Linked DNA regions of Sus scrofa. The protein of the gene in region 2 interacts with the protein of the main gene of each other region in a biochemical or structural test. Links are inferred from orthologs where the notes say so. Each region holds a gene or a part of one and is shown on either strand. Other genes may lie near its edges.

The links.
Region 1: the proteins of PTEN (region 2) and RPS9 form a complex in vitro, tested with the Homo sapiens proteins (2 studies listed by BioGRID). The link is inferred for Sus scrofa from reciprocal best matches to the Homo sapiens genes PTEN and RPS9.

Annotation. Positions count from the first base shown.
Region 1 is NC_010448.4:55,924,415-55,928,613, reverse strand, and holds the start of RPS9 (40S ribosomal protein S9), read left to right. Parts: upstream 1-1,333; 5' UTR 1,334-1,428; exon of another isoform or gene 1,429-1,459; intron 1,460-1,683; 5' UTR 1,684-1,708; coding exon 1,709-1,805; intron 1,806-2,005; coding exon 2,006-2,128; intron 2,129-4,199. UniProt on the Homo sapiens protein: Component of the small ribosomal subunit. The ribosome is a large ribonucleoprotein complex responsible for the synthesis of proteins in the cell. Part of the small subunit (SSU) processome, first precursor of the small eukaryotic ribosomal subunit.
Region 2 is NC_010456.5:99,991,897-99,995,629, forward strand, and holds part of PTEN (phosphatidylinositol 3,4,5-trisphosphate 3-phosphatase and dual-specificity protein phosphatase PTEN), read left to right. Parts: intron 1-451; coding exon 452-495; intron 496-2,494; coding exon 2,495-2,733; intron 2,734-3,733. UniProt on the Homo sapiens protein: Dual-specificity protein phosphatase, dephosphorylating tyrosine-, serine- and threonine-phosphorylated proteins.

The DNA of each region.
Region 1 (4,199 bases), on a different chromosome or scaffold from region 2:
ACTTTCTTCACAGCACCACTCTGAAATGACCTACTGTATTTTTTCCCCTGTTCCCCTAAGACTCAAAGCTTCATAAGGGTTATTTTATTGGTGGCTATGCGCCATCATGTGAAACAGTTCCTTACACTGCTTAATCAGTATCTGTTACAGAAATGAATTAATGAGGCCCATGCTGAGGGAGGCATGTAGCCAGAGACACTAGCTGCTAAATATTCCAGGTATGGCCCAATTTCTACCAAGATCGTTTCCCCCATTGTCCCTAAAAAGCAAAGAGGGCAAAAGCGGAATCCTATCAGGATGTAAGAGTGTATCCTTTGCCTATCAGAACTGCGTATCCCTAGGCAACTGCGACTTCTCTGAATCCTCAATTTCTTTTTCTTTTGCTTCTTTTTTAAGGGTTGCACCTTGCAGCATATGGAAGTTCCCAAGCTAGGGGCCCAGTCGGAGCTGCAGCTGCTGGCTACGCCACAGCCACAGCAATGGAGGATTCAAGCCGCGTCTGCGACCTACACCACAGCTCACTACAACTCAGGATCCTTAACTCACTGAGCGAGGCCAGGGATTGAACCCGCATCCTCATGGATACTAGTTGGGTTCATTTCACCTGAGCCACAACAGGAACTCCCTGAATCCTCAATTTCTGCCTTCAATCCTCAGACAGGTTTGTAGCCAGAGTTCAAAAGGGCAGGCTGGTTTCTGGCTATGCTTCGGGTTGACAGTATTCAGATACGAAGTGATTTTTTTTTTTTTTTTTTTTTTTCTTTTTACCGGCGCACTAGCGGCGTGTGTAAGTTCCCAGGCTAAAGGTCCCATCAGAACAGCGGGTGCCGGCCTACCCCTCAGCCAGACTGAGTCCTCCAGCCGCATCTGCCACCTACCCGGGGGCTTGCGGCAACGCGCGATTCTTAACCCCCTGATCGAGGCCCGGGGTGGAACCCGCATCCTCACGAAGCATAGTCGGGTTCTTAACCCGCTGAGCCACGATGGGAACTCTGACAAGACTGTTTTCATCATTCATGGATGTGAGAGCGTTTCTTGGCAGGAGCTTTTGCTTCGCGCAGCTCTCTGTGGATCTTTTCACAGAGTTAGAGCCGGCTGTAGTTTAATGGTGGTGGCGGTAACGTCTCCAACTTTATACGGCGACTCGTTGGCTAGCTGACAGGATTTAAATCACCCCCCCAGGGGCGGAGAGGAGCTTTCATTTCTCAAGGGACGGTACTCCCACCTCCCGTCGGAGACAAGGTCCTCCCAGTTCAGTGTGCCGCTCTGGCACAACCTTTCGTTTCGACTGCTTTTTTCCGCTCGCCAACGCCTTTTCTGATTGGTGCAGGCTTACGCTGTGCGCGCTGACGTCAGCAGACGGCAACGTTGCTATAAGACCGTGGCCGGCGGGCGCGTGCGCCTCTTTTTCCGTCCGGGAGTCTGTGGGTGAGGCGTGCTGGGGTGCTCTTTAGTCCAGGTGTGGGTTGTAAGGTTTCGTGGGCCATTCGAGTTTTAATGAGTACGCTAAAGAAGTTGGAGATGAAAAGAGGGTGGTTGGAAAGTAGTGGCGATGATGCTGCTTGTAAAAGCTTCAGGGGAGAGTCTCACGAGATCTTCCGTGGCCGCCATGAGATCTTAGCGTGGTTGTGGGACTGCGCAGGCGCTGCGCGGAGGCCTCACGAGCCACTCTTTCCCGCACAGGCGCAGACGGGCGAGCAGCGCCAGCATGCCGGTTGCTCGGAGTTGGGTTTGTCGCAAGACTTATGTGACCCCTCGGAGACCCTTCGAGAAGTCTCGCCTCGACCAAGAGCTGAAGCTGATCGGTTAGTACGTAAGGCAAGGTTTCTGCTTTTCGGGCCTGAGAAGGCTAACACGTGGGGGAGGCTACCCACTCGTTCATTATTTTCAAGTCCTGTGGTGTGTCCCCTTCCCCAGACGGACCAGTCTTGTGATCCTGTAAGCCACCAGGCTTAACGTTTTCACCAGTCCGTGGGACTGAGCCCATTTGCCCGTTTTTTTGCAGGCGAATATGGGCTCCGGAACAAACGTGAGGTCTGGAGGGTCAAATTTACTCTGGCCAAGATCCGCAAGGCTGCCCGGGAACTCCTGACGCTGGATGAGAAAGACCCGCGGCGTCTTTTTGAAGGTGTGTATGTGATCCCGCAGGGGTAGGATGAGGTGCAGAGCTCTGCTCTTCCTTGTAGGCTAGCTCAACGACCGGAGGTGTTATATGGAGCAATTGAGCCAGCCTTTAGTTGGAGTCCTGGGCTAGGAAGATGGGCTTGGATCCAAATTCAGGCCCTTAGGTGTGACTGGTTTATCCTTGCATTGAATTTCAGTTTTCTCTTAATTGGAACCTACAGTGCCAAGCAAGTGTGGGCACTTGGCTGTAGTGAAACAGTACTCTTCCGTATGTATCTTGTTCGCTGCTGGTGGGAATAGACAGTGGAGTATCTCAAATGTTGGATGCTTTAGCAGGAAGAATCTCATGTGCCTGCTTTAACACTGATCAAGGACATGTAGCCAAGGCCTGGACAGGAGAGGACCTGTGGATGTCACAGGGAAGAATTTGCAGGAGTTCCCGTTGTGGCTCAATGAAAACCAACCGCCCTAGTATCCAAGAAGATGTGAATTTGATCCCTGGCCTGCTCAGTGGGTTAAGGATCTGGCATTGACGTGAGCTCTGGTGTAGGTCGCAGATGCGGCTTGGATCCTGCCTTGCTGCGGCTGGCAGAGTCGTGAATGTAGCCCGGATTCAACTCCTAGCTGAGAATTTACATCCTTATGTCTCAGGTTCAGCCTTAAAAAGTAAAAAACAAAAAACTCCCAAAACATTTTAGGTAATGTTTTTGGAGGGGAAACATAGAGATCACATTGTAACTTGAAGGTAAAAATAAGTAAATTTTGGTAAAGTATATGGAACAAAATAAACTTTTTTTTTTGCCATTTCTTGGGCCGCTCCCTCGGCATATGGAGATTCCCATGCTAGGAGTCTAATTGAAACTACAGCTGCCGACCTACACCACAGCTACAGCAACGCCAGATCTGAGCTGCATCTGCAGCCTACACCACAGCTCATAGCAACGCTGGATCCCTAACCCACTGAGCAAGGCCAGGGATCGAACCAGCAGCCTCATGGTTCCTAGTCGGATTCGTTAACCACTGAGCCACGACAGGAACTCCTGAACTGTCTTAGATTCTGAAGGACTTAAATTTCTACCATGAGACAGGGTTAATGGAGTGCTTTCAAAAGCAGCAGTTGACATGATAATTCAAATTTTAGTAGTTTCTCTTACATTGTCAGCACAAGTAATCAGTAAATTGGGTTATTATGCCCTACTTTGTACGTTGTATTCTGGATGTGCAAGAGATAACACAGTACAGTTCCTGATCTTAACAGATGGGAGTCTGGCTGTAAATAGTTTTGTTGTATCTTGTTTGCTTTTTTGTAACAGCTTTTACTGAGATGAGATTTACTTAAAGTGTTTATTTTTAGTTATCGCTAAAATTGGCTACCTTATAGGTGTCATCCTGATAATGCTTTTGGCCTGAGCCTAGGAAATCTTGACTTCTCATGAGAAGAAGGAGGGGCTGGGAATCCAACTGGGCTTCCTTGGGCATCTGGGGTTGCTAGTCGGAATTTTCTCCTAATGTGCAAGGAAGGAAGTGTGTTTACACTCCTCACTGTTAAATGTGAGTGTTCATCGACATCAGAGGTTGAGGAAGGCTTGGAGTGTCTGTCTACACCTAGACCAGAGCCTCTGCAGTCACTTCTTAACCCCCTGTGCCACATTGGTAACTCCCCCATGGTTCTTTTTTAAGGATGTTGGTGGTTTAATAGTACATGGGAAACGTGTCTAAAAGATTTTGAATTATGGTGAAGTTTCCATTTTCAAACGGTAAAGACAGGGAGTTCCTGTTCTGGCTCAGTGGTACCGAGCCTGACTGGTAACCATGAGGACGCAGGTTCCATGCCTGGCCTAGATCAGAGGGTTAAAGATCTGGTGTTGCTTTGTCATAGGCCAGCAGCTGCAGCTGATTCTGCTCCAGCCTGCGAACTTCTTTATGCCTTGAGTATGGTCCTAAAAAGCAAAAAAAAAAAAAAAAAAAAAAAAAAAAAGTAAGTAGTAAGAACAAAAAGGCATTAAGTGTCCAGATTGTTAGATGATCCTGAATTCACTTGTTTACCACTGGATGTTCTATATTCCTTTTTTTTT
Region 2 (3,733 bases):
ATAAATATTAAAATAAATAAAATAATAGTTTGATAAAACTGTATATGCTCAGTTATGAAGCAAAGATAAAATTGAAACTAGTTGTTTACACATACTTGTGAAATCAAAAAGTTCATTAGCATGTACAGTTTTCATAAAGAAATGTGAAAGTAAAGATATAGCTGAATTTGCAGTGTTATGTATTAGTGACATCACACTTTTGTGAGCAAACGTATAAACTATGATTGCTTACATTTAACATTTTAAGCTTCTATTTCCTTAATTGTAAAATGTGGATAATAACAGTACCTACTTACCTACTTTCTAAGGATTCTTAGAATTAAAAGAAATAAGACGTTTAACATAATGCCCAGTATTCTATAAAGGTCCATAAAATGTTTGTTACTGTTATACCTTTTTTTTCCTCAAGTGAAGAAAATAACTTTATATCCCATTTAAACTTTTCTTTTAGATGTGCTGAAAGACATTATGATACCGCCAAATTTAACTGCAGAGGTAGGTATAAATACACTCTTTTATGTTAGATAACTTGAGGCCAGTAGTCTCAATCTTGCTGTCATTGCAATAATGAATAATCTCAATTATCAAGTGAGATATTTATCTTAAAGATGGTCTTAGAGGGAGTTCCTGCTGTGGCACAGTGGGTTAAGAATCTAATTGCAGCATCTTGGGTCACTGCCTAGGTGTGGGTTCAGTCCCCAGCCCAGTGCAGTGGGTTAAAGCATCTGGTGTAGGTCACAGCTGCAGCTCAGATTCAATTCCTGGCCCAGGAACTTCGATATGCCTCAGGTTTGGCTGTAAAGTAACAAATAAACTTTTTTTAAAGATAGTCCTAGAAAATTTGAAAAATTTTACTGTTGTGGTTTTGGAAACAAATATCATATAAACCTGCTGGTAGTAGTACAAGGAAGACTAAAATTTAGAGTAGACTGAAAATAGGGAGAAGTTCTTAGACCAACAGTAGAATAAGGAGAGGGTTATATCTATAGTTTGAGGCATTTGGTGTAAATAGTAAGAGATTACAGGTAGAAAGAAAGCAGAAAAACTTAACTCTATTGAGGAACATGACCTAAATGGTGGAAAAGGGTGTAATAAAATATGGATAAGAGGAGCCCGATAGATGAGAGAAGGAGCTGCTTTAAATGAGTTCTTCTCCAGGTATAGTAAATTCTGTCTCAGAGCCCACAACAACTTTCATTTGTATTTGTGGGGACCCTTTGCACCATGAAAGACCCAGAGAATCGAAAAGCTTGGACAGGGTGCCAATGAAGTCAAAAAGAGAATTGGGTACCATGAGCTACCGATTGATATATTTGTCATTGATCCTTCTTAAATAACTAGAATGGACATTCCAGCACTTGTTTTGAGAATTAAGAAGTGCTTTAGCTGAGAGCCAGGATAGAATGTTTCATTTTTAGTGAATTTAGGCTACTGCATAATAATCAAATAGTCTTTTAATAGAGATTTAGCTAGCTTTAAATAGATGTTTAACAGGTTTACCTGGATGTTTTTGTATGCCATTGGGGAACCAAAGATGGTAGGCAGATGACTAAGTAAAAGCTGTCCTGATGACTCTGTGAAGAACTGTTCTGTCACACCAAAGGCTTAATTGAGCGTACCTTGTACCACATTGTAAATGACTTGCTTGATATAAAAGACATATTTTTTACATATTTAGATGATGCAGAGGATAATTAAGTACATGAATGTCGGGACTTTATAGAGTGGAATCTAGGCAGAGACCAATAGATAAAATTTAATAGTGATATATTTAAAGTCCTATTTTTGGAGAATTAAACAAACAAGCAAAAACCCTCTACTCCAATTATAGGGAACAGAGAAGTTTGGGGTTCTTATAACTCATGTGAAAAAACCTGAAACTTCCTTTAATAAACTTTACTATGATTTTATACATTTTTTAAATAGGTTTTTTTTTTCCCCAGTTTCTTTTGTAAATACTTTTAAAGTCATGTGTATACAGCACTATTAGCAAGACCATCTTTAAAATAACATGCTTGGCATTTTTATTGTATGAAGCACAAATTGCTATCTTTTCCATTGTTGATTTATTAGTGAACTATACTTTCTTTGAAACATACATTTTGTAATGATCCAATATTATAAGTACTGCAACTCCTTTTGTTAGAAAATATATGGTAAGCCCTGATAAGAAGGGCTCATGTGACATTTCATTTTGAGTTTACCTCCATTTCTGATACGTTGTGACCTCTGATACATTGCTACTCTATTGCAAAGTTTCCTCCTTCATAAAGTGGGGAAAATGATACTTGGCCTCCCTATCTAATGGGGAAATTTGAGTTAACAGGAGATTATTTCTATTTTCTATTTGAAAATTATCAGACAATTTTTCCCTGGAGTTCAGTTTTTATTTAAAATCTCTATTGAATTTATATGCAAGATTTCAAAAGTTAACCTACTTTTAATTAGCAACTCAGGAGAGATTTTTTTATTCTGAGGTTATCTTTTTCCACAGTTGCACAGTATCCTTTCGAAGACCATAATCCACCACAGCTAGAACTTATCAAACCTTTTTGTGAAGATCTTGACCAATGGCTAAGTGAAGATGACAATCATGTTGCAGCAATTCACTGTAAAGCTGGAAAGGGACGAACTGGTGTAATGATTTGTGCATATTTGTTACATCGGGGTAAATTTTTAAAGGCACAAGAGGCCCTAGATTTCTATGGGGAAGTAAGGACCAGAGACAAAAAGGTAAGTTATATTTGGTTTTTTTTTCATCCTTCTTCTTAGGTCTGAGAATTTACTAGAAAACAGAAAGCTAGTTGGTAACCCTTGTTTCTTTCCTCTAAACATTGAAATCAGTGTACTACCTTAACTTTCATATGAGCAAATTACTGATTCATTCAGCTTTTTGTTCATACTAGTATTTTCATATGATGCTAGCAAATCTTACCCATTAACTGTATTCCATTTTTGGTCTAGTGAAATCTTTGTGAAACATTTTAAAAAGCTCATTGATTAAAAGTAAGCTTGATATTCCTGAAGTTTGCTTGAGAATAAAGTATCTTTGGATAACGACTTGGATGCTATTACCTAATAAAGTGTGATCTTTACTTTTATAATACATAAAGATTATTCTTTGATATGAATATTTATAAATGTGTAATGATAATTAATATTAGTTAAAGGTTCTTCCCTTATTTAGAAGACTAAAGACTGTGCTAAAATCAATAACAAATTTGTGTAGTATATTTGAAGCAAAAGGTGAACTATTGGAGAATTTTTATAGTAATTTTCAAGTGATTTATTTCTTTGGGTAGCGAGTATGGCAAAATATGTTTACATTTCTTACAAAGGGACTTTGTTCATTTCTCTCCCTCCAAGAAGAAAAAAAACTCCAAACTATTCCAGATAGATGGAGAAACTTATTTAGAGAGCTCTACTGAGGAAGACATCCTAACTTTATATGAAAAATTTATCCTGGTTTTAATAATTTTTACAACGAGGAAGGTTCTCTTCCAGTTTAAGCTAATTTTTTTTTAACTCAGCTTCAAAACAGATATAAGTGATCGTAGCTGTCATTTTCAGCTGGGTAGTTGCATTGATTCTTGGTTCCTTTACTCCTTCCTCATTCCTTATTATTTGTCTTTGTTACTTTTTTGAATTTTATCTAGGATGCCAAAGTACTGTTTATTGGTGATCCTTTACAAAATTGTATCTTATTATTAATGCATGATTTTGGTAAATGTTG